Coturnix japonica: one gene and its partner. The protein of the gene in region 2 interacts with the protein of the main gene of each other region in a pairwise test. Links are inferred from orthologs where the notes say so. Each region holds a gene or a part of one and is shown on either strand. Other genes may lie near its edges.

Region 1 (16,457 bases), on a different chromosome or scaffold from region 2:
ATAGACGCTAAAAATTACGGGTGGTATTTCCTTATTTGCTGTACACTAATAGCTGCTTCCTCGGGTTTTGTCTATCACACGTAGAACAGCCAGAAATACAAACAACCTGCTGTTTCATCAGCTGATGTCCACGCTCATCATCTGAACACAATAATTTAAGGGTATGGTTAATGTCACTGTTGAGTTACAGATAAGCCAACTTAAATAACATCTGCTTACAACATTTTGATGCCAAAACACTTCTCAGATGTTACTGCTCCATTCAGACTATATTAAGGTGAAAAGCAGTCTTATTTACCCAACAGAAACTTATAGGAACAAGCCAGAAGAAGTGGAAAAAATTAGTACAGAATCAAAAGTTTTATCAACAGAACCGAAGCCCATCCCTCAACCACAGGACTTAGAGCTTAAGGCGATTGTTAACTTCCAGTTCCTGTCATAAGGGCAACACATCAAAGTGCTAACTGCCTAGATGTTTGGGGAAGGTAACAACACAGGTTCTAGGCAAGTGAATTAGGGTGATGCATCACGGGACACATGACTCACAAATCAGGAACAACTGTACTGGGTATGATAATCAAGTGGGAACACTTGGCTGTAGGGATAATAGTGGCATCCCAGCTCCTGCAAGGTGTGAGCAAGGCAAGAAGCAGAATACATACAAAGCCTTGACTTTGGGATAGTAGACCTGCATTAGCTGAAAGAGAACACCCTGGTTGTCAGCGAGGAGAAGAGAAGGCTGAGCAGAGACATAAGAGCAGCCTTCACCTCAAGAAGACTACAAAGAACATGAAGGTGGACTCTCTATGGAGGTGCAAAGAAAGAGGAGACAATAATCAGATTGGAACAGGTGAGGTTCTAACTCATATTCACCTGGGGAACACTGGAACTGAATGCACTGAGAAGCTGTTTAATCACCATTGTTAGCAGTTCTCAATAGCCAACTAGACAATCCCTTCATGTCCTTACCAAGCAGAGTTGCTCTATGATTGACACCCTTGCAAACTCCAACCCAAAGGGTTCCACATAACAGAGCAACATTTTAAGCCTACTCAAAATGCCAGAAAAATGCCAGTATTAAGCGACAAGTTATTGGTATGAAAGAACTGTCCAAAATTAAGCTGTACGAACAATTTCCCCTGGTACAGATACACCATTAGAGCAGAATGTATTATGTCTATTTTTAATATTTTAACAACAATAAGTAATCTGTTCAGTAAAGTCCACACTCATCCTGTTTTTACCTTCTAGGGAGTAATTCAAAGAGTTTTTTTCCTTCTCCTCCAAACAAGCACCCTGCCATTCCAGGTGACTATTTTTAGAGACTTTCTGAACACTTAAAGCCATGTCATAATACCTATAATCACTCCTGTTCAGAACCTTTGCCATGTTTTTGATGCTACCACCAACACTCACTGCTTCCCAGTCAAATGCTCATTTTCCTTCTGCTTATTATCTAAAGTGCAACCAACAGTTTTTTTAATATTTAATTTGCATTTTTACATCTACTTAAAAGCAACTGTACGTGCAGAATCAATTCAATCCCTTGAAAGCCTGAGAGGTGTGTCCACCCCTGGGGACAGTCTCAAAGAAAAACAAAGGCTCTGTAATCCACTTCTTTGGGGTACTTTCTTTAAACTGAATGAGAGAAAAAGGGAATTGACAAACGATACTTCCCTACAAGGAATATCAAGAACAATCCTGTTTCCAAGACTGACTGATCTACTAGTGCTTTGGTAAGTGTATATACAGCTGGGAATAGAACAGCTCCTAAAACACCTATGATAATAAGCCTCCAAGGTATACTGGATCATTGTTTATCCAACCTCTTGCAAGTGCAGATAACATCTGGGAGATAACGTGAAATGATATACAGGGCATCCAGGTTTTTCTGCGTAACAGAAAAGAACCATCTCTGAACTTAACATTTTCCACAACTTCACCTATGAATTCACACCATCCACATCACATGGACTATTATCTCTTATGAAGACGAAATGCAGCGGCTCCTGAAGCTGTAAACTTGTAAACTCAGCACATGAGCAACATGACAGATGCCCTTGTCCAGTATTTCACTACTACATTGGGAAATGTCATGAAAATCCTATGAAGAAGCTGCATTAAACTATCCAGAAACCATCTTCCTGTGTTCCACAAAGAACAGCAAAATCCTTCTTACAAGATGTAGAGCCCAAATATACACAAAGTTCTTTGTTTGGATATTACAGGCTCCAGAATGAACAAAGACTTGAGGCCTAGTTGCATTAGGGTCATGGCCTAGCCTAGGTCTGGCAACCTTTCCATTGAAGAACTTGGATATAAGGCTGAGCTAAACAGAATAAAGAAACACCTTGAGCCCATTTCTTACTGTTTTTCAAAGATTCAGCAGAAGAACCTACCCTTTTGATATCAGTGATTGCACTCACTGAGCTGGGATACTTGAAGTAATCGGCAAGCATGACAATGAGGTGGTCAGTAATGCTGGCAATTCTCTGAAGTTCCACGTCTGTTTCAATCAAATAGGCCAGAGTTTCTGCTCCTTCTACTCGTTCCTCCAGCAGTCTCTCCTTGCTACACATTCGAACCAAACATGGCAGAGTCTGATGAGTTTAAAAAGAATAAAAACAAAATACTGTTTGGAACAGCTAGGTTCATAAAGAAACTCGAACAGCTATTTTAAAGCAATTCTCAGTAATGTTATTTGAACAGGTACCTTCAGACAAAAAGTATTTTAAAGACTACAGAGAAATTGTTCAGGCAATACTGAGTATACATTAGGCTACTTTCAACCAAGTTCTCATGCAGTGAAAAAGAGTTTAGATCAGATGTCACTACTGACACTGATGATACTGGAATGAACTGCATTTTGGATATCCGCTTAAAAAGATGGGAGAGATAGAAATTTGACTCTGCCAACATGAGGACTTTCACCTGTAATTACCTTGAATGGCAGATACGAAATTCCCCCTAGCAAACAGTGTAAATGTACCATACTCAACTGCGATTAACACTGAAACGTGTTTTCTTAGTGCAGCATCTTATAAAGAAACTGCCCTTTCCCCTGCATTACCAGAACACTGGACATAGGGACAGTTCCTGACGCGCTGCAGACAACTCTCCCAACCCTAACCAAGTTATGAAGCACTGATGTTCAGACAAACTTACAAAACTACTGTGAAATTTGAGGAACAGCCTGATTTTGACAGGCTCCTTTTATACACTGTGCAAGCATTTTGACTATTGTCTTCTGTCTTGACTACAGTCTTCTGAAACTTGCTTCTGAAACAGATAACAGCGCCTTGTTCGCATGCAGAGATCAAGGTAGGGATGTGGTTTCCATGTTACTTACAAACAGTTACTTACATCATTACAAACCTTAAACTGCTGTGTGTCAAACTTTGGAATATTTATTGCTGGATATCAACATTTTGGTATCTAAAAGTTCTTACAAGAGCTACACTGCTATAAGTGTTTTAAGGCAATTAGGGAACAACTGTTTGTTTAATTACTATCATTAGAACTTGGTGCTTTGAGATCACCTATTTAACAGGCTTTGCACTACTTTTTATACTAGACAAATAAAAACAGGAGTAGATCCTTATAGAAATGCTGTTTTAAACAGAATTGTCTAACTAGCTCACCTTAAGAACGATGCAAGAGTCATCTGTCCGTATTGCTCCAGCTCTGCACATGGAAGTAAGGCTGTGACAACACAATAAAACATAAATTCACTTATCCTTGGTTTTTAGCACTTAAAACACTGCAGAACAACCCGCTGTACTAATGAAATGTGCTCCCCTTTTGATTGATTTTCATACATTTGAGCTAACTGTAGGCACATGACCAAATTACAACACACACACTTGCAAGGAGATTTATAGCACAGAACATCTTGCTGGAGCACTGACCAACACGGACACCACACAGGTCAAAAAAAGGACTAACCAAGAAGCTCGACTGATGTACAAATCTCTTACAATAACAAAACAAAGTTAACTATGTTCACTAGGATAAAACAGCAATACGCACAGATCTGTCCTATACTGCCCACAGCACAGGAAAGGACTAATAAGGAGAGGGTCAACGGAGGGCTGACAGTTTAAGTCATAGAATCACCAAGGTTGGGAAAGACCTCCAAGATCAAGTCCAACCATCCACCTATCACCAATACTTCCCACTAAACCACGTCCCTCAGCACGACATTCAAACATTTCTCCACCCTGGCAGCCCATTCCAGTGCCTTATCACTCTCTCATAGAAGCAGTATTTCCTAATGTCCAACCACCTGAATCTCCCTGGTGCAACTTGAGGTCATTCCCTCTAGTCCTATCACTAGTTCCATTAGATCTCAACTTTCCCTTTTGATATGGGCAGATTCCTGTATGTTCATGTACCTAATGACCAGATGGCTCTGTAGGGCCTTCCTAAGCAGATCAACACTTCCTGCCAGCTTGGTGTCATCTGCAGAAATATTTGAGCTTGGCATTAATTTAGGAGACTCAGTACAGGAGTAGTCAAGTACCTTGTTTTAGCTTTCAAACTAAGCCATTGTAACTAGCTTTTATTGTGTCGCAAGTGGGAGGTTAAAAAAACCAACCACCAACTGCCATTTAAAGAAGGTGACTTAAAACTACCATTTCAATTCTTGGTTGGACTGGTTGAAACCATATATAAGGCCAATCACAATTGCCCATAATAATATGCCAACCTTAATAGCACCATGTTTCACTGCATTCCTATGATTTTTAAAAGAACCCAGAGTTCCCACATCTTTAATAACATCATTTAACCTGTTCCAAGTGTCTACCAATGAAAGACGTGAATAAAAATGCACTGATTATGAGATTTTAGCTATTATGACTCAGAAGTTAAACAGATACAACTCGGCAGCACAGAGATTATTTTCTAAACTTTTCTGTTCAAACTTTGTATCTTACAGCTGGAAATACTGATTTCCACGTCTGAACAATCAGGAGGAGAACACCAGTCTTGCAGCTGCCATTAATTCCTGTTACGATACTGTTTGCAGGACAAACTGACTCAACTTCGAACACAAAGTAAGTTAAAGTACTTCAGATAAATAGGCTTGGCTTAGATGGCAGCAATTACACTAATTTCAGTAGAAAAGGTGCTCTTCTCTAAACTGTTCTGCTTATAGGTGCAAATCACTCCCCCAAGAGGCCGACTTATTGCTCCCTCTTTGCCAAAATCACCGTTCAAATGAAGGATCCTTATTCCATTTCAATCAAGAGGTATTAAGTCAGATCTTCCAGGTCTACTTGAACAGTTGAAAAGCAAAGGAAGCTTCCTCAGATATCCCTGTATACCAGTATGTAGATTAAAACCAGCTTAGCAGAAGGCTTCAGAAATTCACCAAAATAACTCTACTTCTGTATTCTAAGGACTCTACCAATAAACCAGAGAGGAATCCCACGTTAATCAACAAAAGCTGGCACATCAAAAGTGAAGTCTTAATTTTTTATCAGAAAAGCAGTTACAATTTCACCTACTACTCCAGCCTAGAAGGAGTAGGAGTGAAGAGAGATACAGACTTACTTTAAGGGATACAAGCAGGGAACAGATTTAGAGAAGAAAAGCCAGTAGATTTTTGAAGTCCTTACACTGTCATGAAACTGATACCTTCAGTGCCCTAGGAAAGAGGGCTGCCCACAGGCTAATTAGGAGCCCACTCTTGAAGCACAAGACACTGGTTTGTTCCCCTCATTCTTGTAGGGTTTTTTTTGCTTTTCATTGCACATTTTTTCTTCTGTGCTTTCAAAAGTCCATTTGAGCCAAAAATGAGAGAATCTCCAGCCAAATCCCTCCAAATCAAAGCAGATTAGTAAAGAATACCAACATATCTGAGAGCGTTTATCCTAGAACAAGAAGAAACCAAAGCCAGAATAGATTTCTAACTGCAATTTGCCTTCATAACTAACCGATGCTCTTGTATCTTAAGTTAAAAAAAATAACCTGTTCTCATGAACTCGGTTTTTTAACCCTAATTCTCTGTTTTCTCTGAACTGCCAAAGAAACACAAATCGATCACAACAGACTTCTTCAAGACAGTTGATTTACCTTGCCTCCCCTTCAGTACCTGAAGAAAACCTGATTTGCTAGAGGGGAATGCAGGAGGCCCCCAGTCCAGCCTCCCACCACACAGTGGGATTACCTTCCTAAAACAATCCTCCCCAAACGTACACTTATTTATAATTGCTTTCATGAATGGGTTAAGTTGCCACAACCTGGCAACGTGACAAAAGAGACCATCCTCCTACTCCCCCCATCCTTATTCCTCAGCCAGAAACTCAAGCCTTTGCTCTGACAAGTGTCAGTGAAATTATTTTGGTGAATAGAATGAGAGAACTCATTGCTGTAAGCCAAAGATAAGCCACTAAAATCTGGACTAGCTGTAAATGGAAAGAATTAAAGGAGACCAAATCAAATAATCAATGACCAAACACTCAAATCATGTTAGATTTTAGTAGTTCATAGTGACATATCTCTTCAAACACCTGAAGTCATTTATTTACTCCATCTCATCAATATAAGAGAAGAAAAAGGGTCTTAAGCAGAGTTAGCTCCCAGCTTATCGAGTGTGAAACCCTAGTGTTAATGTTACAGAATTCAGTCACATTTTGTCACAAGGTACAAAGTCATTAGGTACATGAACATACAGGAATCTGCCCATATCAAAAGGGAAAGTTGAGAGATGAACTTTAAAATAAATTAGTAACTAATTCTGTTGCATGAACATATGAAGTTTAAAAAACAATCTATGCTTAATTAAACCATTTGAGAGAGTGTCTTGCTCTCTTCTTATTTTAGGAGAGGGCTTACTGTTCTCAATACACCACAGCCACAGTCTCCAAAGCAAACTCTCAGGACAGTGGTGTAACAAGCACATTATCTGGTAGTACACAATTACATTTCGGTATTATACTTTGTAAGGACAAACTACTGACTATAACCTATTTAACATAAAACTTATAATCAAATTCAAGCTACTTGAGAAAACTGCAGTTCAACTGAAGAAAACAGAGGTGGTTTTTTTCTTGTTTATGCTCAAGAAAAAATAAGATGACTAGGTGATAACAATATTTCAAGTATCTAGGTAATACAAATAACATCTTTCATTATTCCTACCTAAAGTTTTAGTTCCCTCGCATGCAGCGAGGATAAAACCAAAAGTTAAGAAGTACTAGATTGCACACTATTGCATTCCAATTCCCGATGAAAATTACCATTTGGCTGATGTGAGCTGCATTTCAATAGGCTTGTCCCTTTGTAACATCTTCACAAAGATTTGTGGTAACAGTTCTCCGTCAACCGACACTGTAAGTAATGGAAGAGAACTCAAAGTGATACTAATTCAATCAGTCAATAAAGTAAGTGTCAAACAAGCAGCGGTTGCATTATACTTACCATTTACCAGAGTCATTGATACCTGTGGGTTTTCAAAGGCTAGAACGGAGAAGCATTTCAAGGCTTGCATTCGAACCTGTTTAAAAAAAAACAATAAATAAAGCATAGATGTAAATGCTAACTTAAAAGTAAAACAGGACTGTATTGATGTACAAAGCAGCAGAAATAATTCTGCATCACCAGTAAGAAATTTAGATGGATAAAAAGCAGATAAAACATCTAATTCACAGTTTAACTCCTGTGATCTCCCTGCTTGGAATTACCATTCCAGACTTGACATTGTAGACTGTTTTCAAAGACACAAGCAAGGACTGGCATGTGGGAAGCAGACATTCAGAAACACTAGTTTCATTTGTGGTTTCACACAAACATGTAAACAGCAAAAAAAAAAACCCAGATATATCATAAATCCAGTACTTCCTCTTTCGAGGATTCATGAGTACCCTGAGGGAATTAGAAACACATGTCACTGTATCAGTAGTTTTTAAAGGTGAATTTAATAATATTTCTGAAGAGATTATCCAGTCAAATTGATTTTAAACTAATCTTAAAACAATAATATACTGTAAGTTTCATTGCTATTGCATAACATCAGTTATCACTCGTGCACTAATGATTCACAGCTCTCTATGCTGGATCACTGAATTGTTTTGGTTGGTTGGAAGAGACCTCTGGATATCTTCTGGTTCAACTTCATCTATCAACTAGGGCAGCTGGCTTCTGAATATTTCCAAGGAAGGAGACCCTACAACCTCCTTGGGTAGCCTCAAATCTGAAACTAAGTTTTGGTTCATCAAGCCTTCATAACTGCCTACTAAAGATGACTTCCTTCTGACCTCTTTTTTGAGGCAAGGAAGATCATCACCATCATCCCAGATAATGAATCTAATTTAGTTCACAGTCTTTTGACTTCAATTGCTACAGTTCTATATATGTTGTAGTAGTCGTTAATGAGGAATCTATATATGTAAATTTTGCTGATGTCTTTCTATGCTTTTGTTACAACTTCCTTAGTGTGACCATAACACTAAGAAGCAAGATTTCAACCTAAAAATCCCTGTCGCTGAAGAAAGCATTTGTGACTGTTGCATTTTAGGTTTAGGTTCATCTTCCCCAAGAATTCTGAAGGCAGACAATAACAGCAAAGACTACCAAGCATTCATACTGTATCTCACTACAGTCAAGGTAAGACAATCAATAGCAGTGAAGTCAGGAGTAACAAATAGCAGAAATGGATACATGGCTTCAAAACAAAAGCCTTATTTGGCAACACTTCTGTTTACTGAACAGATGATTTCATGAATACAAGGTATGCACCAACGCAACAGGAAGCAGAGACTTCTCAGTGCTTCAAAAAGCACTGAGAACAGTCAAACCCAGAGTTGGATGAGAACTAAGTGGCTTGAATTCCTGAAGAGCATCAGTTACATTGAAAAAAGCAACTGAGAAATCTTATCCAGCTCCTATTTCTTTATTTAAAAAAAAATAGGAATGGTTCAAAGTGGTGCACAACTTGGAACATTCACCTTACAACACAGAATGAAAGACTTCAGTTGATGAAAACGTAATACAGAAAGACAGAAAACACACCTGTCAGTCCCAGTAACAAAATACTGAGAATACCGTACTTCAAACAGGATTTATAAAATGAAACAGCATGGCATTTTCTGATAGCCCAGGATGGACTCTTGAAAGCATAAAAAGGGATGGAGCCTGTGAGACTCAATGAGCACAAAATATTGGTAGCTGGTAACCCTCACAGATTCCAAGCTCATGTTTTTACAAGTGTATCTTCTCTTTAGGACAGCTCATTTTGCTTAATTGCATTTCTGCTTAATTGCTCTTTCTCCTTAAATGTTCAGCAAATTACACCAGCCTTATTTTGATTTCTTTTCCTTATGCTTGCCAAGTGACCGTCCTTCTGATCAACGAATCCCAGATCTGCCTGAAGTAAAGACGTCCTAAGAGCATTCCAAAATAACAGGCCTCATTTTGACAGAAACCCACACAACAGGTAAAAGTGATTCTATAAATAGACATTCCACACGTTAACAGTTCTAGGTCATACATGTATACATAGCTTTTATCATGATCGTAGAGATCCCTTTCATAAAACACTGAATAATTTTCATGTCTTACTTTGTAGGAGGTGGAGACTAACAGATGTGCGATATTCTGAACAGCTCCGTGGTTAAACAAGATTGTCTGGTGGTCTGGACCCTACAAAGGAAAATATAAAATGCGATTTATTCATTTATTTATAAGGAACATGTGAAAGATTACTATTACCTCAACTATTATTATTTTACTATTCAAAGGTAGATTCACCAGCATGTGTTTCGTAATCAGTTGGTATATCAACTTATCTTTTCAAGAAAGAAGCCCAATTTTTTTAACTCTCAACAGTCTCCTGGGAGACTTGCAAACTCCTCCTTAGAAGTAGAGTCGTGACTCTAGCCACCTCTACATTAAACACGGGCACAACTGGAATCCACCTTTTGGGATGTCACACCATTAATCATACCCTGATACATTTTCTTGACTACTCTGCAAATGCAGAAAGTATCTTCACTCAATTTCTTGCTCAAACCCGGCTGGGTTTATGGGCATATGTACACACCCTAGTAAGCATAAGTGACACTTCATTTCCACATTTGAGATTCAGCTGAAATCAGATTCTCTTTGTATTCAAAAGAACATTTTTGGAACATCCCTCACTCTAAGAAAAAGAGCATGAGAATTACATATCTGGTGCTTTAAGAGATGCTTCAGCTGCTACTGCCACCAAGAGCTTTCTATTAAAAAAAACACAATCAAAATAGCATGGTTGAAGTAGGAAAACAACTTACATTGGCACACAGAAGTGGCTGAGGCAATGACTTAAAGCCGCAGCTATGCCAGTGTTGAAGCTGAAGAACAGATATTGAAATATGTGAAAAATATGAATGAACTCAGAAGTTAAAAAAAAAATCATATTGACCTAGATTGTTCTAGTAATCCATAGGCATTAGTGACTTTTTCAATGAGATGCAGATGTCAAACTCTGTATTCATAGCTGCAGAAGCTGACGTACAGATTGGATGCTTTCACATACACATTGTGTATGCACACACCAATTCTGCTTGTTCAATGCACACGCAGGCTGAGTTCTAACTGTGATGCAGACAGCTTCAAATACACAGGTGATATCTTCAGATTACAGTGTATCCATCCTTCCTTTCTAATTCCAAGCATCTCAGACACCAGCTTAATAGCAGGGCCTTTTGGCTTTGTTTTTCTCTGGGCATCCTATCAGAGTTGCAGGAGCCAATTCTATTTCAAGGATCCGAAACCCCCTTTCAGCATATTTGGAACTAGATGATCTTTAAGGTCCCTTCCAACCATTCTATTCTACGGTCTTCTTTTCCCCAGATGTGATTGAGTGATGAAATATTTCGGAGACAAATCACATTCCTTGCATTATTTTCTATCAAAACTCTGATTTTCATGAAAGCAGTAGGATAGAAGAGTCTAACAATTCATTCCATAACAAAATTTTAGATGCAGATATGGAAGTGCAAATGTATCTTGGTTCAGGCCTAGGATCACATAAGAAATCATTCTCAGAATAAGCTTAGGAGGAAACTGCCCTGATTACAGGCTTTAACCTGCATCTCTCCTAGATGAGTTTAATTTTCAACCACTGGTGAACTTATACAGAGATATCACCACATTCAAAATAATTTTCCAACACTATCTTTTCAAACTGTTTATACAACTGCTTGTTTCCAAATGCATAGCACATCCTTCTAATTTGATGTTTAAAACAGTAAAGCTGACCTACTCACGTTACTTTCTCTGGAAATAAATCAACTGTGATAGAGAGGACCTTTAAAAGTTTTGACTTGCATTTTAGCATGCCTTGAACACAATCCAGTTTCAGTTTGCTTGGTTTTGATTACATGTTGATAGAGTCATAGCTATGTATGCTGAAATCTGTACCATTTCCCCCTGTAAACCAACACTGTCCTTAAGATGGCTCTTCTCCAGAGTCAACATATTCCACTGCTCAATTTTAACTCCAAAAATGCAGTGAAAAGCAATAAAAGCATGAACTTGAAGCAGACAACAACAGCAATATGCTAGGAACCTGAATTAAGGATTTCCTAGCTAAGGAAAACAGGTCTAAGCTGCAATTCGAGCAGGTAAGAAAGAAGGAACCCCAAAAGCTTGACCAAACAAAACTCTCTGACCAGGAAGAGACAGAATGGAGAACAAGATCTAAGCAGAGAAGAGTATGTAGAAACAAGGAGGACAGACAGGAGCTGTGATATGCCATCATTTTGTGTGTATTTATTAATACGAAGAAAAAAATACAAACATTGATACATACACTAATATGTTAAGGCTTATCTGAATTACAAGCCTCGTACTAACTTATTTATCCAGGGAAAAATTATATAGGGTTCTCAGTCATGATTTTTTTTAGCATAGGAGATGAAAACTTCATTTTAAAATGTTCTTTCAGAAGTATTCGATACTTTTTAATAAGAATGTACTTTCCACATACATCAGAAAATCCCTGCAAGTTCTGCTTGCCTGCACTAGAAATATTTTATCACTCCAGAATACAACAACTGATTTTACGTCTTATTTCCCAGATAGGAAATCCAAGAAATAATCAAAGTAAGGAAGAAAGGGGCATTAGCCAGAACAAGAAATGAGCTTAATTACAAATATTTTTCTTTGCTCTGCAGCAAGGTATTTATTCTACAGATATAGGCCCCATCCTTCATACCCATCACTCTGCTTTTAATGCGCATTCAGGTTTCTGCCTGTTTCCAATGTCACCTTTTCATTCCAAAACCTTGGGATTTTTCAAAACATTCACTCCAAGTTTTGTTTGAGCTGGAGCAGGATTTGTTGTTTGGAGTGGTGCTGAAAACAGGTGACTTCATAAGACCTTGCTTATTCTCCTCTTATTATGTGACTGGGCTACTGTTTTATTAACTATACATTTGAGAGGCAAGTCAGCAGGAGTTCACAGAGTTAAAAGGAAGCTGCTCACATAGGAGAAGATGACAAGTGTGTTCAAGCTGGGTTAGTTAACTGACATTACTCAGCAGTTTGCACTCAGCCAGCCAGCAAGGCTTCTGCCACTGAGCTAAGTTCCACCTGGATCAACAGACTTCTGCATCCATATACTGTCAGTCCTGTGTTATTTCCCTTATGTGCCAACATGGCCTGATCTTTCAGTCATTACTCTCTATTACAGGCACTGTCAAGGCCTATTTAAACTTGAGGTGCCCGTGTTTGTCATTAGACAGGTACAACTTACTTGTTCCCATCAGGTCAAGACGGAAACAATCAAAACACCTTGTGTGACAACCTTCCCACAGCAGAAAGGAATGGCACCGGTGCATCTTACTTAAAATACCAAATTTATTTTCTAATATTAACTACAGATCGAGCTTATATAGTCCAGCATAGGATAGCCCAGCTTATATAGTGCAGCTTGCTTTCAACAATACTCTACATATTAGCAGCTGAGTTCAATTTTTAAATTGCTTTACAGTCTTCAGTTTCATGTAACAGAAGAAACTGAATTGGATGAACACACATGCCAAGGCAAAGACAAACAAAGAAATAATTTACAGCCCCAGAAGACTCATTTTTCAATTATGAGACATATTTTTGGAGGTAAATACTTAGCAATTCAAGAAATTTGAACACTGTTACTTGCCAGTCCAGCAGATAAATACAGTCTATCTGTCTTTAGTCATAAAATGTAGCTATAAAGGACAGATGCTAAACAATTTTGGTTTTCCACACTGAACTGAATCAGTTACTTTATACCCACCAGGTACAATAACTACCAAAAGAAACGTTTTTCATAAAAGTTGTGTGAGAGAAACTAAGGGATATAGGGAGAGATGCAGACAAGGAGTGCCTTAGGACTAGAAGACAGCAACATGAGAACAAGAATGTATCTGAGGTAGAGTTGTTGGTAAATTATAATCCCTATATTAGGGAAATTGCATTACACAGCAGGAACAAACATTTATCAGGATAAACCTGTAACTGGTACAGCTCAACTGGGAATAGCATTCTTCCCCTCAACCTACAGTACTTCTTGTAAACCCTTCTCTTGGTTTAAAACAGCCGGTGTGGTAGGAGATGAAAGCCCTTTGCAAAGAGAAGTTCACATGTTTTTTGAGATTTCCAGAGAAATAAAAACAAAACCTTCCTATACTGTTATCCCATGCTAACTACTGTTAGTAGTGATGACTGATATTTGCCTCGACTGCTGATGTAGTTTAGTAGCCAAAGATATTAACACCTCAAAAATCAGTTATTTCCATACTTGGCTTTACTGCAGAGAACCATCTATTACACCCAGTGTGATAGCAAATCTAGGACAACAGGAGTTCAGCCATTACTGTTCTAATATGCCTGCTGAAAGAGGTGGTATCTTACACAGATTCTTATGTGCCAGAAACACAACAAGTCTCACAGAGAACATGTATTCTCCTCCTTACTTTGCAGCAGTGTGAGAAGATCTGACATATGTATTCTTGCGTATATCGAGACCTACTGAGCAGCGCCATGAGGTGTGAGATAACTGTAGCATCCTGAAAGCAAGTCAGAAAAAAAAAAAATAAGGCATTAAGACCATTTCACTATAGTTTGTTAATAACTTGTTACTTAGAAGGGTACTCAATTCTGCATTCTATATTCCCTATTAAGTATTTCACTCACTGGAACTTGCACACAAGACAAGACCATTGAAGTAGTACAGAAGATACATAAGACATCCTCAGAAATTCATGTTAGATATAAAACCTGTTTATGCCTCCAGAATCTTTACTTCATGAGCAAACAATGAATAAATAGAAGGGGAAAAAGGAAAAAACCCTACACTGCCTGCAAATCTGTAATTCTGTGACACCCACTGACTGATTAGTACAGGGCAATGAATTAATAATTCCCCTTGGTTTAGGCACTGTTATAGCAATGCCAGAGAATTCCAAATACATCACAGCAAAATAAAATCACTAAACTTGAAGTTGTCTCATGAAAACACATCTATCTACTTTTTAAGCTCTCTGGTAAATTACCAAATGATGATATTTGAAAGCTCTCTGTTAGTTTTACCAGTACCTCTCAAGTCAGATGATGACATTAAAAGCAATACCAACCATTTTAGTTTGGAAGGGTAGAAAACTGAATTAACTCTGTGAGATAAAGGGTGCCTAACAAAGGAGATGAAAGAACTGAACAATTCTTCTTGGCCAAAGAACTTACAGTATAAGTTGACCATACACAACTAAGTGAGACAGTTCTACCTGCAGGAGAGCAACTGATTAATTGCAACACTCTTTGTGGGGAAGAAATGGGTTAAAGTTAGAGCACATTCTTCATGCTCATTAGCTACTTTTATAGTGATGAAAGTAACAACAACCCAAATGCTATGAGAGCTTTTTCTGAGCGTTTATTTTCCAATTACTTGGAAAATTTCCAGCAATACTTTTCTATATGAGCAAAATAAATGTGCTCAAGTCCCTTCTATTAATTCCCACATTTGGGATTAACGAAGTTCTGCAATATTCACCTTTATTTTTAAGATGTATATGAATATAAATTGAGAATTTAGCAGATGGACTTCAGAAAACTTTGCTGCCAACAACGTAGCCTTGCACATCACAACAGAAAACAGAAAGGTAGAGTAAATAAATTATACTGAGAACAAAAAATAAATCATATATAAAAATTATACTGAGAACAAAAGCAACTTTGGTTTCAAATGCTTTTTTCTTAACAGCTGAAGGGGATCAACACAGCACAGAGACCCATTTGCCAGTTCAGGGTCTGACAGAAAAAATTACTTACTAGGAACTGGAATTCTTCCAGACAGACCAGCCCTATATACCTGCTGCATGGTTCCATGCACAAGAAGAGCAAAGGACAAACTATTCTAAGAAATATTACTAGGGTCTGGTTTGAAGTAGTTGCACCTGATCTGCCTTTCTGTATAGCAGATATACAAACACTGATTGCTTCTCAACTGCAGAATCCAAAAGGCCTGTGAGCAGCTGGTTTGGCTGAGGGGTAACACTAGATATTAAATCCCCAAGTATGTTTTAACTGCACTAGTGGTCATAACCATGATTGTCCTTAACAAAGTGAGCCTGCAGGTACTGCCTGTGGGACATATACCACAATAGCAAAGTTCCATGAGAAACCAGAAACATCTAATGAGCCAACCTTGTCCACATTAAATCTTCAGCTTAAATCTTCAGTAGTGCTAACAGATCCCCAAACCTGAAAGTGTCTCCTTCCTTAAGTTAAAGCAAAATAGACTGACACCCCCAGAACTCCTCTGTGGGTTTGCACACTTGACCCATTAAAACAGATTCTTATCATTTTCCATTAATCTTAGGCAGTCTCATCTCTACAGACTTGAACACACTGAACAGCATTACAATTAACAGGACAGAACACTCTGCTTACAACTTACTGTGTATAGAAGATCCTCTGGAGTTACAGGACTGATGAATATGGTACGGAGACATCGTAGGCAAGCTTCTATAAACTTCAAATCTGGTGACAGTAATCCTATAAATAAAGAAAAAACTAATTCAGTTTCATTTGCTGATTTGAATACTCAAACAACCACTAACAATTTGTTATTAATTTACAACAAACAAAGAGTACCTTGCAATAAGGCTGGGATAATATGGCAGTCTAGTAGGGATTTGACATTATTCTCTGTACCCATTGCAAGGCTTCCCAAGACCACTGCACATTCTGTTCTCAGTTCTGTGCTGGAGCTTTCTTGCTGAAGCAAGTATAGCAACCTGAAAACAGAATTACTTTTAGAAGAAAATTCACATGGAACAGAACTTGCAACTCAGGTAAAAAGTAATATAAATTCTACAATATAAAGAGGACAAGGTCCTTAACAGCAGGACGGAATCCAAACTAAAGAGAAAGATGAGAATTGTTGTGTTAGGCGTACTTTTGCATTGTATGTTCCTACACAGGTTTTAGTT
Region 2 (16,644 bases):
GGTTGGTGCTGTGGTCTCGCTCATTGCACACAGGGGTGCACGTCATTGCCTTGGGGGACAGGCTGGATGCTGCAGCTCAGCTGTGGGGGGAGGCGGGGATGCCCGCAGCAGGCACCAGGCTCAGAGGGCTGCAAGCACAGGAGCTGACATTTGGAAGGAGCTAATTGCCAGCGCCTGCCCTGCGTCCTGCCCCCGGCTGTGGCCGGCAGCGGAGGCTGCGCAGCGTGTTGAGCGGCTCCAAGAGCCCCCAGCCAAATGTGCAGCGCTGTCCATTGGGTCGGGGATCCCTCGCTGCCTCCCCGCCGTGCTCCCCGGAGCGTGAGATCTAATTACCCTCCATTTGGCATCTGATGCCACCACTGTTTGTTGGCCATAACGTTTTCTGTCGGCTCCTGAACATCCAGCCCCACTTTTTAACATGGTGACCTTCCGCAAGATGGAACTCGATGGGGTGAGGCAACTCACAGCTCTTTTGTTTGTCTTTAATGTACCCGCCATTGGGCAAACAGTGAAGTGCTGCATGAGTTTTAACAAGGAGCTTCCACAAAGGTGTTCGTCTCTGGTCCATAGCAAAGCCTTGGGAGGAGCTGAGCAGTCTGCAGCTGTTTGGCTGCTCCCTCACTGCTGGGTGGGAGCAGTGCCTGCAGGGACCAACCTGCAGCTCAGTGTGCGATGGGAAGTTTGGCTGGGATGCACAGACCCTCACCAGCCCCTTCTGAGCCCCTGCTGGGTATGGACCCTGAGCTCAGTGCCATCCATGTACCCACGTGGCACTTTGGGGCAGAGCTGAGGCCTTTTTCCAAGAGGAAAAACTGAATTCCCGCAGCCCGTTCCTGTGCCCACAGTGCCCCCAGCCCCCAGGCCAGGTGCCCATGATGGGTTGTGCCCGAGCCTGCAGGTTTCCGCACTGATGCTCGCAGCACTGTGCTGCAGCGAGGCCAGAAGTGCATCCTTCACTCCCTGGTCCTTTGGCCTATGGTAAGAAAGGAGACGGAAACATCACTGATTTACCGGAGGCAACTGCAGGGATGTAAAATAGTAACAAATGGGGCCGGGGAAGCAATGGCTGTCAGCTTGGATCTGTCCGCAGAGCAGGGCACAAGGCTTGCCATGGCACGGGGCTGGATCTCTCTGAGACCCCCATGGCCCCATAGTTCTGCCCGATGGTGGTGTAACCCAGCACTGTGCTGGGAGCAGCCATCAGAATGGGGCTGTTGACCCTTGTTTACCCCTCTGTGCCAGCCCGTCTGTTAGGGACACAGAAGGGAGCACACGTGTGCTGCTGCCACACTCACAGTGTGAGATGTTGCTCCTGGACTGGTCCTCTGCCCTCATGAGGCAGGAGAGGTGATGTTCCCTGGTGTCCATCTCTGCCCATGGCCAGGTTCTGTGCCAAAGGCAAAAGGAGGGAACTGGGACAGTGCAGGTGCTGGCTGTGTCACTGTGGGTGCCCAACTCCTGCAGTGATGGGAGTTCAGGTGGGCATCAGCTGCGGGTTGTGGTGGGTGGATTGGGGAGGTTTGGGATGCTCTTCATGGCCGGGCTGTGTGGGAGCTTTGTGAGCAGCCCGTGCCCCCTGTGCTGCATTACAGCCCTGCTCCCCCTGCTCTCCTGCAGGCACTCTTTGCTCTCTCCTCGCTGCTGAGGCACTTCCCCTACGCCCAGCAGCAGTTCCTCAAGCTGGGCGGCCTCCAGGTGCTGCGTGGGCTCTTCAGGCAGCCGGGGACCTCAGCGCTGTGTGTCCGCGCCGTGACGCTGCTCTACGACCTCATTGTGGAGAAGGTGAGGGCTGTGGGCAGCGGGACGGGGGGATGGAGCCCTCCCAGCTCCTGGGCTGGACCTGCAGCTCCCGCAGCTTTATTTCCACGTACCAGGGATTAATGCTGCAAATGTCAGTTCAAACGCTGCCTTTCCTCGCCACCGCTTGTTATTTAGTTTGTGCGTCTCTCTTACTCCAGAGAATGGGAGTTAAATCCACTTTCGCTCTGTTTATGGCCAATTTGCCCTGCAGATTATGGCTGCTTTAATGCTCAGATTCCAGGCTCCGCAGAGGAATGGCTGAGCTCTAAAACAGTTGTTCTCCATGGGATTATGTGAAGGTGCACGTTACTGTGATGGCTGAGATCCCATCAGGTGTGAGCTCTGACTCCCTGTATGGGAAATGCTGAGTCCCAGCCTGAGCCACTGATGGAGCACCTGGGGAAGGGTCAGCCCTGGCAGCACAGGTGAAGGCAGTTCAGCTCTGAGGCAGGAAGGGGTGGGGGCTGCCTGCTCCTCTTTTAGGCCTCATTGAAGGGCTGACTGCCACTGGGGAGGGTTTGTGGTTGGAAATCTCTTCCTTGAGGAGTCTTTCCTGTAAGCCTGGATGTTCAGAGGTGGGTGAGCACCTTTTCCTTTGTAACACCATTCTATTTGCACTGATCTCTCCTTCTGCACTCCTGTATTGCCCTTCCTCTGCGTTGACCTTTCTGGCTGTAACGTGTGCTGCCCTGTTCCTCTGCTACAGCACAAGGGTTGGTGGGCTTGGCTCCTCCTGCCACATCTCGTGCTGCCCCTCATGCAGCCCCAGCTCTGCTCTGGCTGCTGGAGGTTCCTCATGCCCTGCAGAGCCTCATGTTTGTACCTACACGTGGCTGTTGCTGCCTGCAGCCCACCAGGCTCAGCCCCTTCCAGGGCCTGCAGGGAAAACCAAAACACGATGGAACCTGGTGGGGAGCAGGGCTGGGCCAGCAGGTTTGGGGCTGCCTGGGTGAAAATGTGCTTCTAAAATCATACAGTAACACCAGCCCCTGTGAGTGCTGGCTCTGCACTGAAGTGCAAAGCAGTGTCTGAATGATATTTGTCTCCTCTTTTTTTCATCCCAAATCCTGAATGCCAAAGTACAAATGGGTGTTCAGCAGTAGCCCTAATGGGAAATAGGGCATCACTCCTTTGTCTCTATGCCTGGCAGTTCAGTGGCACAGAGTGCTGTGATGGAGTGGGGATGGTAGAAAGATATTGAGGGAGGGCACCGTAGACACCCTTGGGTACCCAGCTGGCCATGGGGATGGGGCCATCCTGTGCCTATCACTGCTCTCCCTCTGCTCCTCTGGCTCTGGGTTTCTGTTGTTGGCTCCACAGAAGCCTGAATCCTCCTTCACCTCCCTGTGCCATCACCTGCCCCCTGTCCCCCACAGATGCTGCTGGAGGACTCTCAGCACAGCGACCACATGGAGAAGGTGCAGCAGTACCGGCGGGTGCAGCTGGTGCCGGCGGTGCTGGAGCAGGACTGGTGTGTGGCTGTGCCGGGGCTGCTGGCTCTGCCGGAGCATGATGCACGCGAGAAGGTGCTAAAGGCCGTGTCGGTGCTGATGGAGCTGTGCAGGGAGCGGTTCCGCGGGGACACGGCGCTCAGTGCCACGCTGGGGATGCTGCGCAGTGAGTACGAGGAGCTGGCAGCTGCTGAGCGCAGGGATGGCGATGGGGACGGGTACTTCCAGGAGCTGCTGGGCGCTGTGAACAGCATCGTGCGGGAGCTGAGCTGAGCTGAGGATGGAGCTTGGATGGGTCGGGACAATGGTGTGATGTGTGCTGGGCTGTGTCAGTGCACCGGGAATAAATGGCTGAGCTAAGGGAGCCCCTCCTGTGTGTGCCAATGGGTTTGTTATGGGACAGAGGTGCTGGGGGCTCCGTCCTTCACAATGAGCATCACTGGGAAACAGGTCTGTGCTCAGAGGGATGAAGCAGTTCCAGCTCACGCTGCTGCTGCCCTACAGACAAGGACCTGCTGCCAGTGCCCTCTGCAGCCCTGGGTCCACTCCTCCCATCATAGGACATAGTGGGTGCTGAGCTGTTCCTGCCCGTGGCTGTGGTCGGCCGGCTGTCACCGCTGCAGGGAGGCACTTATTGCAAGTATTGATTTTAGTGTTTGTTTTTCTCATTCCTTGGGTTTCTATTGGAGCTGCCTCCCTGGGATTAAAAACCTGCTTTGGTTTTATTCCCCAGCACCGTTCCCAGCTGCCTGCTCGGGGCTGGGGTTCTGTAGGGTTAAGGATAAGCACCATCTGATGGCTGTCACTGCTGGGGTAGGTCTCAGTGCTGGGCACCACGCAGTGCTAAATGGGGTTGAGGTGTCCTGGCCCCATGGCCCTCATGGTCCCCAAACTCCAGGGCTGCATGTAGCTCTGTGTATTGTGCCCTCCTACTGCTGGGGTGCCGGGGCCACCTCAGGGCAGCAGTGAGGACAGTGGTGCCCATGGAAGCACACAGTGCCCACCAGTGCTGTCCCTGCCCTCAGCAGGGTTCACTGCAGGGGTTGCAGTTCTGTCAGGCTTTGCCTTTCCTGCTTTCCCCCCTGGTCTGTTTGTCCCATGGTGCCCAGGTGTGTGGCTGCACAGATGTGCACAGCTCAGAGCCACAGGGTGAGCGGCTCATGGCCCAGTACAGCCATTGGCATTGCCACCAACTGCCGGAGGAGCACAGTGGAGGGAGAACACTGTCCTGAAAGGAAGCTGATCCTGGCATTGCTTACCAAGGAGCGCTCTGGTGCTCGGGGAAGGTGCTGCTGAGCTACCTGGGCAGTGTGGGCAGCCAGAGCCCAGCAGGCAGCACAGCACAGCGCTGCATCGTGCCTCACATATGCTGAGCACTGCGTGGGATGAGCTGCTCCTTTGGGTGCAGGGCAGCTCCTGCTGCTCTCCTCCACCCACAGAGGCAACAAACAAACAGCTGTGGTGTCCCTGAGCAGGGCAGCGCTGGCAGCACATCCCCACGTGTGCTCCTCACACTGCTGCCAGAGGAACAGCCTTCCCTCCAGCACTGCGGATGAGACGAAGCGCACAAGTCCTTCCCCAGAGCTTAATTGCATCAAGCAGTAATTACTGTAATTCTTTTCAATTGGCTCTAATAAAGTTACGGTGCCGCTCCTGTGCTGGATGCTGCCTGCCTGGGCCCTGCTGGCTCCTGAGGGCTGGGGATGCTCCCAGAGTTCACAGCCCAACATGAGTTTGTGTTCACACTAAACCTGGGTGGATCTAAGTGTCTGTTTGCTGCAGTTTGTGATGCTGTCACACAGGGATCCAGAGGAGTGGTTTGTGTTTGTGGCATTAAGGTGCAGCATTGAGGCCCTGGGTGTTTGTGGGGCCAGCACTGACACTGCAGGGCATTGTCACCCGTCCTTGGAGGCAGCAGCACTTGGGAGCAAAATGGGCAACATTAACTCCTAATCCTGACCTGCAGCTGGTAACCTGACAGCAAAGGGCTTGATACAGTAAACCGTGATTGAGGTAAATGGAATTATAAGCTAAGCACTGCCAAGGAGCTGCTCTCAAACTCAGTTACAGTCACAGCACTGCACCAACCCCTGGCCACGAACCACTCACAGCCTTCTGGGGAAGGAGGGATCTCGTTGGTGGGAGTAAAACACACCAACACCCAGAGTGTGTAAATAAACAGGGGTGAAGCGATGCCTGTAGGTACATCACCGCACAGCACTGCAGCCAGAGCTAACGAGAGCTGCTGGGAAATGCACACAGCGCCAACAGCACGAACAGCACAACGCAGGGTGGGAAAAGCAACTTTATTGTGTCCTGCAGCAACAACATCCGCCGTCTGCAGCCGGGCATTACCGCTCTGGTGTCACACAGAAGCCAGCAGTGACCCCAGCAGCCACGGGGGGCACAGGGATGGGAGGCAGCACAGGGAGCACTGCAGCCCCTCCCGGCCCTGCCCAGCCGTGTGCCATGCAGCTCCATGGCAGGAGCTGCTCGCTGTGTTCTCAGCTCCTGTTGGCACTCACAGCTCACTGGCTCTCGGCTCCCAGCAGGATCCACATACACACAATAATCTATTTGTAAAACCTTTTTTTTTTTTTTTTTGAGTGAAAAGCCTTAATTTTTCCCTCTGGATCACAAGGCAGAACGGCCGCCTCCAAGCAGGACGGTTCAGCTATCAGCGTTAACTGTTAGTGTTAGTGTAAAACCTCTTTGGTTATAGAATATTTCATTTAAAGCGAGATTATACAAAATAGTTTCCAGCTAGAAATACACCCCTGGAATCTAAAAGCAATCTAAAGGAACACACTCCCGCAGTCTGGAGCTATACTGATAGGTTTCGTGATTCGAGTATTTCCCCACATGATCTAAACAAAGTTATCAAAATTATATTAAGTAAATACATTTGGAGGAGTAGGAAACTCCTGAGAATCCTCAGGATGTTAAGAGCAGAGTTCTGGCAGTAGCAGTAGTGGCCTAAAGGAAAAACTGACCGACACGGGCACCTCTAAATGCTCTCCATCGCCTTGAACTCGCTGAGCGCCTGCACCGGGTTCACGTGCTTCTTCTGGGACGCCCGCTTGATTTTGGTCTGGGTCTCGTCCTGCTTCTCCCTTTTGACCAGGGGCTTCTTCTCCGGAGCCTTCATCTTCCAGGACACGGCGGGGAGGTTGAGCGAGGCCATGCCCTGCGACTTCTGGTACTTGGTGGACGCCACGTAGGACGCCTTCACCGTCTGCACCACCGCGTTCATCAGGTTCTTGGCCGCCTGGATGAGGGACATGGCGCTGTCCACCTGCAGGGAGGGAATGGGGTTACAGGAGGTGACAGACCCCAGCAGCCCCACAGCAGCACCCTGAGCTCTGCACTGCACCCACCCCACAACTGCTCTGATGGCTTTGCTCAAAGCCTGGACCCCATCCACACAGTGATGTTCCCCTGCTGACACTGCGCCCTGCCTGCACAATGCTCTGTGCTAATGGCAACCGAAGGGATCTGTGCTCCGCTGTTTGCTTTTGGGACTAAGCTTTAAAAGCAGCTTATTCTCTAATGAAATTAATAAAATCACAGCAATATCTTAATTGCTGATAATAAACATTTAAATCAGCCGGGAACATGAAGTTATATTACAAAGGGAGGAGTGCAGTGTTATCTTCACCGGGCCTGGAGCTGTTTGCAGGGTGGTTCCTACTGACAGGAGCTTTAAAATGAGACAGAATTCCCTTGCAGACACGGGGCCTTCCCCTGTAACCTGACAGAGCTGAACAGCACCCAGCAGCACTCAGCCCCATGGGCAGATTGCAGGGGAGCAGATAAAGCGGCAGATTAGATGGCAGATGCCTGCTCACATAACTAATTTATGGCAGGAGGGGATGTACGTTCTGAAGAAGCTGAATAATGGCAGTAAAACCCTGGAGTCCACATTACTGTGTAATGACACATCCACTCCTCTGACAGCACGATGCCTTCAGCCTCCCACAGAGGAGCACATCAAGCAGCAGAGCTGTGTGGCACCAAACGTCATCCTACGTACCCCAGACACGACGAGTTCCCCTCCAAGGTTCTGCACTTCAGCCTTCACTTTGCTGCAGATGTTGAGCTGGTGGCAGTACAGGGCGATGCGCTGCAGATAGGCCAGCAGGTCCTGCTTGCATGCCGAGTCGGGGCACTGCAGGGAGAGACACAGCAAGGGTTGGTGTGGGGATGGAGTCCATGGAAGTAACTTGTTCAGCTTTGCATTTTCCAGCACCCCACATGCTCACGTAGGGAACCCAAACACCCTCCAATGCCCCACTGTGATACCCTGTGACACACTGACACCCCGTGATACCCTGTGATTCTGTGGTCTGGGTGGCAGCAGTTGCCTTCGTGCCCCCCAGCCAAGCTAAGAACACACCGAGGCACCTGCAGCTCTCTTGGTTTCCATCAGCGAAGTGAAAACTGCATAACAAAGAGGTGAGGTCTGCTGGTTATTTTCTTAAGTGAATCAATACCAGCCAGCAGTGCAAGATGTTTTAGGGAGAGCTCACAAACACCGTGGGCCAAGGAGTTAATGAAACCCTGCCATTAGCATCTGGGAAATGCTCTCCATCTCCTGAGCAGCTCAGCTGGGGCTGAGTGCTGACACACACACACTGCAGTGTGGCTGGGGGTTGTGCACAGCTTGGGGTGCTGTACGGGTAGGAATTAGGAAGAGCCTGTGGTGGCAGGAAGCAACCAAACAGCAGTGGGAAGGTAAGAAATGGGATCAGAGATATTATTTAATAGCAGACATCAATATGACATGACTGGGAAACCCACAGCCTACACTGTGTGTGCTAATTCGATGAGCAGAGTGGAGAATTCAGTTCAAAAACCAATGATGTCTGCAAAGAGAAACTACCCAAGATAAAAGACAGCATCCAAGGCTGGATGTGGCTCTGGGCAGCCTGGGCTGGTGGTTGACAACCCTGCACGCAGCAGGGGGCTGAAAAGAGATGATCACTGTGGTCCTGTTCAACCCAGGCCATTCTAGGGTTCCATGGTTCCCACACTGATTAGGACATGAGGCAGCCCCGTGTGGTCCCAGCAGCACGTACAGCCATCAGCCTCCCATCACTGTGTGCAGCAGCACAACGGGGTGGGTTTTCCTGCTGTAAATATTTCAACATTAAAAAAAATAATAACAGAGAATTGCTGCAAATCATTTTCGTTTGTGTTGTACTCGGAACTCCTTCACGTTCTCCCATTCAAAACAAGCAGGCGGCTCCTCTGAGTGAAGGATGGAAGGAAAACCCCTGGGGAAATCTGCAGGCTGATGGCTCGATGCCTCTCAGCAGACATGAAATACCCGGGATAACAGCTGGGATGTTTGAAGGCGCTGCGTTGTGAAGCTGGGAGCCCCGACACGCTGACACCAGGGCTGTGATCCAGCACTGCCACGTGGGCTGTGGGACACCAGGACCCTCTGCTCGCTCACAGCCATGTGAGATACAGGAAGACATTCGTGCTCCACCGGAGCGGCTGCACGCAGCCCTCTGTCTCTGTCAGGTATGTCTGCAGAGCATGTAAGCCTATCTAATGAAATATGTAAGGTGGAAGTGTTAGCAGGGTGTGGAGTCACAAAAAAGCCATATTCCTGTCAAAGTGACTAACTGTGCTTTCCTGCTGGTATTTATCTCCTGACCTGTGCTTCATCTGTTACATTTTTACCCACTTGATGTCTACTAAAAGCAGCCATTTAACCTCCCCCCTTCCAGCACTGCTCAGTGCAGGAACCATCCACCAGGTTTGTGCCGAACACATGAATCAGAAACAGCAGCGTTGGGAACTTCAGCCCCAAACCCCCCCCGAGGTCTGTGACACAAACTGCTCCTCACTCCATGTCCCTGCATTCAGCAGCAGCGGCTCCTGATCCCCAGGATCGGGGCTGGCACAGCGCTACGGCTGGGAGCCCATTTTAAACAACACCTTCCTGCTTTTGCTCCTCATCAAACGCTTCTCACTGCACCATAAACACACTGAGGTGAGCACAGAGTCCTCTGGATGCAACGCTTAATAGAGATCTGCATCACAAAGATTTAATTTCAGAGTAAGACGGCTTCATTAGAAGCCTGGTATTATCAATTATGTTCAGAGCAAGACTGAAAAGCAAGCAACAGCTGCACGAAACACAGTTTAGAGCAGTCATGATCTCAGACCTAACCTACTTGCCTTGCAGGGCACCTTCTAAAGGCAGAGCATTATGATGTCTGCAGTTTGGGTGTGGACTCAGACCAAAGGTGTTTCTGCTTGTTCCAACCCAGCTTGTGCAGCAGCCCGGGACACACCACATAAACCCTGAGCTCAGTCCTACACAATTCATTCCAAATGCTGCAGCTCACAGAGCACACAGAGCACAGCACCTGCACCACAGCCCGGGATGATGCAGAGCACCCAGCATTCCTGACTCCGTATCTTCCATCAGCTCTGGGCTGGACAGAAGGAATAATGGTGAGGCCACCATTCACCTACGGGGCATCTGAAAATCATTCAGTATTAAAAAGCTGCCTCAAAACTAATATTACAGGTTGTGCAAACAGGCCACGTGCAGTAATTATGGCATTGCCTACACAGCCCTGTCACTGCTTTGGAAAGTGCTGGCAGCCTCAGCATGAGGAAAACAACAGGAACAGTTCCAGCCCTGCTGTGTTGAGGCACCGGGCTGGAGCAGGGCTGTCAGACTGCAGGTACCTGGTTGAAGCTGAGGAGCTGCAGGTTTCATGGCTGGACAAACTGAGCTGCCTGCAGTGCTGGGATGGCAGGAGAACAGCGAGCAGGAGAAGACACAACTCTGGAAATGCAGAAGAACAGCCCAGCCCTCACAGTAACCACAGGCTGCCACATTCACCGTGTCTGCAGCATGAAAACATCTGTTGCTCATCTGTGCTGGAGGGTCATTAAAGAAATGGTGACTTACGTGGTCAGCAATAGTGCGTCCCAGCTTGTCCATCCTTGACCCAGCCTCTGCGATCTTCTTGGCTGCACTAATCACATCTGATGTGTTTTTCAGTGGACCTTTACCTCTGGAAAGCAGAACAGAGCAAACCTTCAGAAAAACAAGAGCTGGAACAAGGCGCTGCTCTTCCCATTGCTCATTACAGTGGCAGCAAACCCCACAGCACAAATGAGGCTGCACAAGCAGGCGGGTCACAGGTGCAGCCATTAATGCCTCTTCATGCACCTCCCAGGCAGATCCCCCCCGCAGCCTCTCCCCACGTTCAGATTAAATGTAGGAATAAAAACATCTTAAACTTTACTGTTTCAAGCAAACTAATTATGATGAGAGATAACATTTTAGAAGGCGGATTTGTAATTTGCATGGAACGCAACATCAAGTTTAAAAAATAGTGTTGTATGAAGTCTAGTAAATGGATTTCAAAAGCCATCAGAAAAACACTCTTTCTTTTGCAAATAACTGTGCGAGGAACTATTTCTATAGCACAGCAATAACAAGAAGCCCATAGAACTTAATGTTGTAAAGAACTGAATGCTATATTTATGTGTAGTTGCATATATATGTGCATATATATATATATATGTCTATATATACACTCTTTGGGCCCAAATCCCCCTTAAGAAAGAAAGAACATCAGGCAACAATTGTGTCTATCTACAGACCAATCTAAACAGCTCCGGTCACTGTACAGTGACCTCTCCCAGGTTAATCCCAGGCTTTAACAGGTTAACATTGACAGTTACAAGAAGTGAGGCTGCTAAAAAGGACCAGCACCATCTCAGGCAGCTCTGAGAGGTGCTGTGTGCACAAATTACAAACACTCACCTGGTGAAGTCTGTCATTTCCATCATAATCATACACATTTGTTTGGCCAGAACAATTATATCGTTACCGCTGTCATCCCATTTTGATACTTCAGCATCCAATTTGCTCTTTTCTTCCTGGAAGCTCGCTACCTGCTCAGCAATCTTGGCCTTTTGCTCTTGAGGGAGCTGTGCCATGATAGCCTGAAAGAGAAAGCTTTCTCACAGAGCCTCCCCCAGCCACAAGGCAGAAGGCTTTGCTTTGTGGAACACTTCACTGATAGCCAATTTAAGTTACGTAGATGGGGGATAAAACTTTAATAGCAATCCTCTACCTAGAGGGTTTCCAGAGCGATTTCCTTCCATTTCAAACATGAAGTTTATGCTGTATGAATTACTACCAGCTCTAAAGAAGAAAAAATACCCAGACAGACAAGCTGACACCCAAAGCACAGCAAAACTGTGTGACTCCAGCCATGTTTGCCACATGTTACCATCCCTCACAGAACAGCAGCACGGCGAGGAGGGAGCAGCCTCACCTCCCAGAGAGCACAAAAGCACCAGCAGTGAGCACAGCTCCAAAGGCAATGCGGCAGTTTGATAAATAAGGCCCCACCATTCCTGCCTGGTTGTGGACAAAAAGAGCCTTCAGAAAAATCTTTCATGGCATTTTCCCAAGAGGATAAATTGTTATCGACCCAGAAGGGAACACGTCAAACAAAGGCAATAGGTAAGGCCTGCTTTTCCTTCCGTGTACCAATTTTAAGTTATCACCTGTTAATGATTATGTATTACATATCAGTGCTTTCATTTTAAACAGTCATAGGAAATTCACTCTGTTTAAATTACTTCATTTTCCAGCTGCTTTCAGCATTGTCTTGATTAAAGGCCCAGTGCCCAAACTTATACATAGGAAAACCTTCTGTAAAAAATGCCTGAGCTGCAAAGTTTGATGCCCACACAGCTGGTATTTGCCTGCTGTAACTCACAGCCACACCATGGAATTACTTGTCCTGTATCTTCCTGCAGACACTCCTTGCCTGACTAAATGGCAGTGCCTACAACATCTGCTTTAGGTTGGATATCAGGGGGAAGTTCTTTACTCTGAGAGTGGTGAGGTGCTGGCACAGCTGCCCAGAGAGGCTGTGGATGCCCCGTCCATCCCTGGAGGTGTTGAAGGCCAGGTTGGATGGGGCCCTGGGCAGCCTGGGCTGCTCTGAAATGGGGAGGTTGGTGGCCCTGCCTGTGGTGGGGGGTTGGAGCTTCGTGATCCTTGGGGTCCCTTCCAACCCAACCATTCTGTGATTCTCTGTGATGCCAAAGGATGCAGCAGCTCATCAGTACAAAAAGCAATCTGATCTTTCAGAACGTCTACAACAAAACGCTGGTGTTTGTGACATCCATCACACCACCTGCTGCATCTCACTTGAACTCCTTCTCAAAAGCAAACCAGAAACAGAGAATGTCTGCTTTCTGACCTAACCAAAATTTAACCTGGATCTTCAAAATGAGCTGAACTGCTTCTTGAAGGCAGGACACGCTCTGCTAACACAGAGTTCTTCCTTACCCTTGCGCTTTGTCCAGCAATGAGTTGGTCATCTTCTGTCTGAATGCTTGTTCTGCTTCGGACATCGAAATCTTCCGTCTCGAAGTCAGAATCATCCAACTCCTCTGGGGTCTGAGGGGAGAGAAGCACACCAAGAGTCAGACAGCAGTTTGAATGGCTCTAAAATCAAGGAGAACGCCGTGTTTGTGAGGATGGAAATAAGCCCAGGGAAGAACTGTTCAATGTCCTCAACAGGAAGGTGTGACAGGCCTTACAGACACGTGTGGTGAGCACAGCTGAGCGCTCACGTTAAACACGGTAGAAATCCCCCAAATTACTGAGCAGTCACTGAACATCTGAGATTTGTCAGAGGACACGAATGCACAGAGGAGCTGAAATACAGAGAAAGTCTTTCCAAAATGAACACCACCTTTTGCAACTTTGATAAATGTAAAAGCTTCGCCTCACATCCTGGAGCTAAAATTACATACAACTTTAAGCCCTGGTTCACAACCACGGACGTCTTCTTTAGCACAATTATGAATCAAAGCATCGACTGAATTAACAACAGACAAAACGTATCGAAATTTATTCTCGTCCCCCAGGAGAAGCTTAAAATGTTTAGCTCGTAAGGGCCAGCTTTTATGCTGTCGGCTAAACCCAGCTGACCTACTTCCCGCCTGCCTACCATTTATTTTTGCTACTGCCAGTCTATGGCTGGCAACATTTTTATACAGCTTATCATTTTAAACAGCCACATTTGTTCAAATACTGCAGCTCTGCTGAGCCTGGAACTCGAAGACAATTCTGCAGAGCTGGACCAACAAAGACCTTCACTGATAAATGCCACGAACTGTGATTAATGGGCAAAATGCAAACCAAGTCTTTGCTCTTCAGGTTTCTTTCCCATGCTCAATTTCATGAACTCGTTCCCTGATTCTGATGCAGACATCTCGTAACACACTTAAAATAAAAACACTTATGCAAAAGAGCAGCAAAAAGGCAGAGGTGGTTGAGCATGCTGACAACTGAGACGTATTCTGGCCCCAGCTCCTGCCCATGCCTTTATGAACCGAGCAGGGACACACAGTGTGGTACATCGGTGTGTCAGTATTTTAAGAACAGGGTTAAGATCCCCCCAAACCCATCTGCCACATCTTTAGGAAGATGCTGACAATGCCAGAGCCCCTCCCCTTCCTGCCCATCCGACAGCCCAGGGGGCAAAGACTCTTCTGGGGCTGACAGGAGGTTGCCTGGGACCAGGGAGCACAGAGCTTTGTTTCAGTAACTACAGACAGAGTGAGATTTTACTTCTGAAAACAGGCTGCAAAAGCACAGAGTCAGGTGAGGAAACGGCTTTTCCTTCTGGTTTCCAAGCTCCAGTGCTCAGGGTCAGGCAGCGTGCTGCCCCAGCCACGCTCTGCAGCATCTTGTACTGCTGGGAGGCCGTGCCCGCACTCAGCCAGAGCCCAAGGCCTGCAGAAGTGGGGTTCTGGCACCTTCTCTTTTCTTCTATACCTTACAGCCCTCTGGACAACAAATAACAACAGCCTGGCTTTTTTTATAGGCCGCCAGTGTGTCAGCAGTGTGCTGCCGCCAGCGACTGGCACCCTGACATCAGCAACAGGGGGAAATGTCAGCAGTCCTGGCACTGCCAGCTCTGCTAATTACTGCCGACGTGCAATTGGCAGCCCTGCTCCCATGTCCTGAATAACAAGGACTCTAGCAGGGGGTGAATCCAATTAGCTCGTCTGCGGAGCGGCAAAGCGCTGATATCTTCATATAACATTGGCTCTCTATTAAATCCCAAGCGTAAATACAAGAGAATTATATGGACAGCACATATGTGGCTGTCAGCGTTTCTCCTGATTTTCGATCCAACTCTTTGCTTTAAGCAGCAAACATGAAGGCAGTGTTGCAGTGGTTATCACGTATGTTCTGGGGCTGCGCGTTGTACCGAGATGCATCTGCAGTGGTTATGGTCTGAAGGACAATGAGTTTACCTGTGAGCAGGAGCTCTTCTGCCCCTTCACTGCTGCACTCAGGGCTGTGAACAAGTCTCTCTTTAACGAGGTTTGCCAATTAATTAATACATGCTGTAGAAACCTGGAGAGAACTACAGACCCAGCTCCTCTCAGCCCGTTCTCAGCTAACTAGCACTAATTCTCAAAATTTACTTAAGAAAGAGACATTAAGCTTTACATTCAGGCTCTTAAACCATGAAAAAGCATCTACAGTAGGAATTCATTCGCAATTGTTAAATCAAAGGTCACTGATTTAGCACATTAATAAACGAGGCATTAACATGATTTTATAAAAGATGCGTGAAGGGTATTTAGCATCACTACTCAAGGCTATCATTGATGCTCAGATCTGTTTAATGAATCTGAGTCAACACGCACTTCTGAAGTACTCCACAGAGTGATTAGCACTTTTTAAGACTGAGAACGTTAACATGAGCTAAATGAAAATCTTACGCTGTCTGCTCTGAATAAAATTGATGTGTGTTAGCTCAGCAACTGGGGGAAAGTGAGCAGAGGCAGAAAGCAGCTGAGGGAAGTGACACTCACTCTGATCATCAATACGGCTTTCCGGATGTCTCTGATTCCATCGTACACCAGTCGCGAAGCATCAATAAATTCATTCTCATCCATTGGCTGAGCAGGGTCTGAACTCAGTGCTTCCACGGCAGCCTCTACTTGCTCAGTAAAGCGTGGCATAACTGTATTAAGAGCACACAACAGCCGTCATTTCCAACCCTGATCCCCTCCCAGGTGTGTGTGTGGGAGCATCGTTATTAACTGTTGCTGGGAAGTGTGCAACAGTTCCTTCTGAACTCAAAACGTTTGTTACCAATCAACACGAATACTGGTGCTTCAGTCCTATCTGTGCTGCATTTTGTCTTTATTCTGCTGCTACTTGTTTCCTTCCTCCCCACACAGTGAAAAGTTTATCACACCCTCATAGAGCACAAGGAGAAAAGTCCTGGGGAAGCAGCTGCAGTCTGTGGGATACAACATTAAGCACTTGTTTCACATTCCTTCTAGACAAGGACACATCAGCGTGGGGGGACGTTACCACCACGAGGCTGGAGCTGCACAAGGCGCTGAGCAGGGCAGTGTGCGCCTCTGTGCCTCAGTGAGCACCATCATGGAGCCATTTACAGCCTGTTCAGCTCCTCAGTGCCATCGTGATTCTTCATCACAGTTGTAATTAAAATAAACACAGTAACTAATCCTTGGCAAACCCTCACTGAAGCACCCAGAACCATTCCTTACCTTAGACGGATGTTACCAGCTAGGTGTGATGGGGGACCAGGACCTACAAGTGCTTCTTCTACAAGGTACACAGAAATGTTCCCTCGCTCTGCTGGGGCAATGCAGCAGAAACCCTTCCAGATCGTGGTACAGCACTACAAGATGCCCGGTGTGCCCACAGGCCCTGACTCGCTGTCTGGGACTCGTTCCCTGGCACTTCCACTTGGCTCAGCTCAGGCTGACAACCAGCACAGCCAGGGAGACCTTTTGTGCTGCTGAGTTTTGAGCCAGTCAACAAAGCAAAATTACTTTTCTCATTTTGCAACAGCTCTGCAAATAACTCCCACTAATTTTCATTACAGTATGTAAATGGAGTGCTTAATAGATTGCATGGGCACACTGCTATCCATTTGCCCACCCACTAGGAACCAACACGAACCCGGGGTCCTGGAAGTGCTGCCTTACCTGTGTTGGACAGCAGCTTCGTCGCTTCCAGCACCTTCTCAGTGTAGACTCCAGGCTCGTAATTATCCATTTCAGAGGTGACAACATGAATGACTCGAGCAGCACGTCCTCGAATTGCACCAGCTGTGCGGTCTAAACCATCAACATCTTTTTCTTGGAGAGCAATGACACATTTGTTTACATCTTCTAAAATATGGTTCTCTGGTGGTAAAAGAAGGAGGATTTAGACGGTAATATCTTCCTTTCTGTCGTGCACATCAGCATTACAATTTCTCAGCCCTGCCCTAAGAAACCTCCAGCTAGATGCTGTAAAGCATTAATGCATCAGCTCGCTACAACCAGCCAA

The links.
Region 1: the proteins of CTNNA1 (region 2) and ARMC8 interact in a two-hybrid assay, tested with the Homo sapiens proteins (2 studies listed by BioGRID and IntAct). The link is inferred for Coturnix japonica from reciprocal best matches to the Homo sapiens genes CTNNA1 and ARMC8.

What each region holds. Positions count from the first base shown.
Region 1 is NC_029524.1:2,432,373-2,448,829, reverse strand, and holds part of ARMC8 (armadillo repeat-containing protein 8), read right to left. Parts: intron 16,263-16,457; coding exon 16,120-16,262; intron 16,021-16,119; coding exon 15,923-16,020; intron 14,037-15,922; coding exon 13,944-14,036; intron 10,335-13,943; coding exon 10,275-10,334; intron 9,646-10,274; coding exon 9,565-9,645; intron 7,502-9,564; coding exon 7,426-7,501; intron 7,336-7,425; coding exon 7,245-7,335; intron 3,703-7,244; coding exon 3,642-3,702; intron 2,601-3,641; coding exon 2,400-2,600; intron 1-2,399. UniProt on the Homo sapiens protein: Component of the CTLH E3 ubiquitin-protein ligase complex that selectively accepts ubiquitin from UBE2H and mediates ubiquitination and subsequent proteasomal degradation of the transcription factor HBP1.
Region 2 is NC_029528.1:14,127,357-14,144,000, reverse strand, and holds the end of CTNNA1 (catenin alpha-1), read right to left. Parts: intron 16,500-16,644; coding exon 16,299-16,499; intron 15,299-16,298; coding exon 15,147-15,298; intron 12,709-15,146; coding exon 12,598-12,708; intron 11,235-12,597; coding exon 11,053-11,234; intron 10,295-11,052; coding exon 10,189-10,294; intron 7,420-10,188; coding exon 7,285-7,419; intron 6,547-7,284; coding exon 6,259-6,546; 3' UTR 5,543-6,258; downstream 1-5,542. Other genes in the region: nucleotide exchange factor SIL1, read left to right, coding at 1,618-1,782, 3,177-3,524. UniProt on the Homo sapiens protein: Associates with the cytoplasmic domain of a variety of cadherins. The association of catenins to cadherins produces a complex which is linked to the actin filament network, and which seems to be of primary importance for cadherins cell-adhesion properties.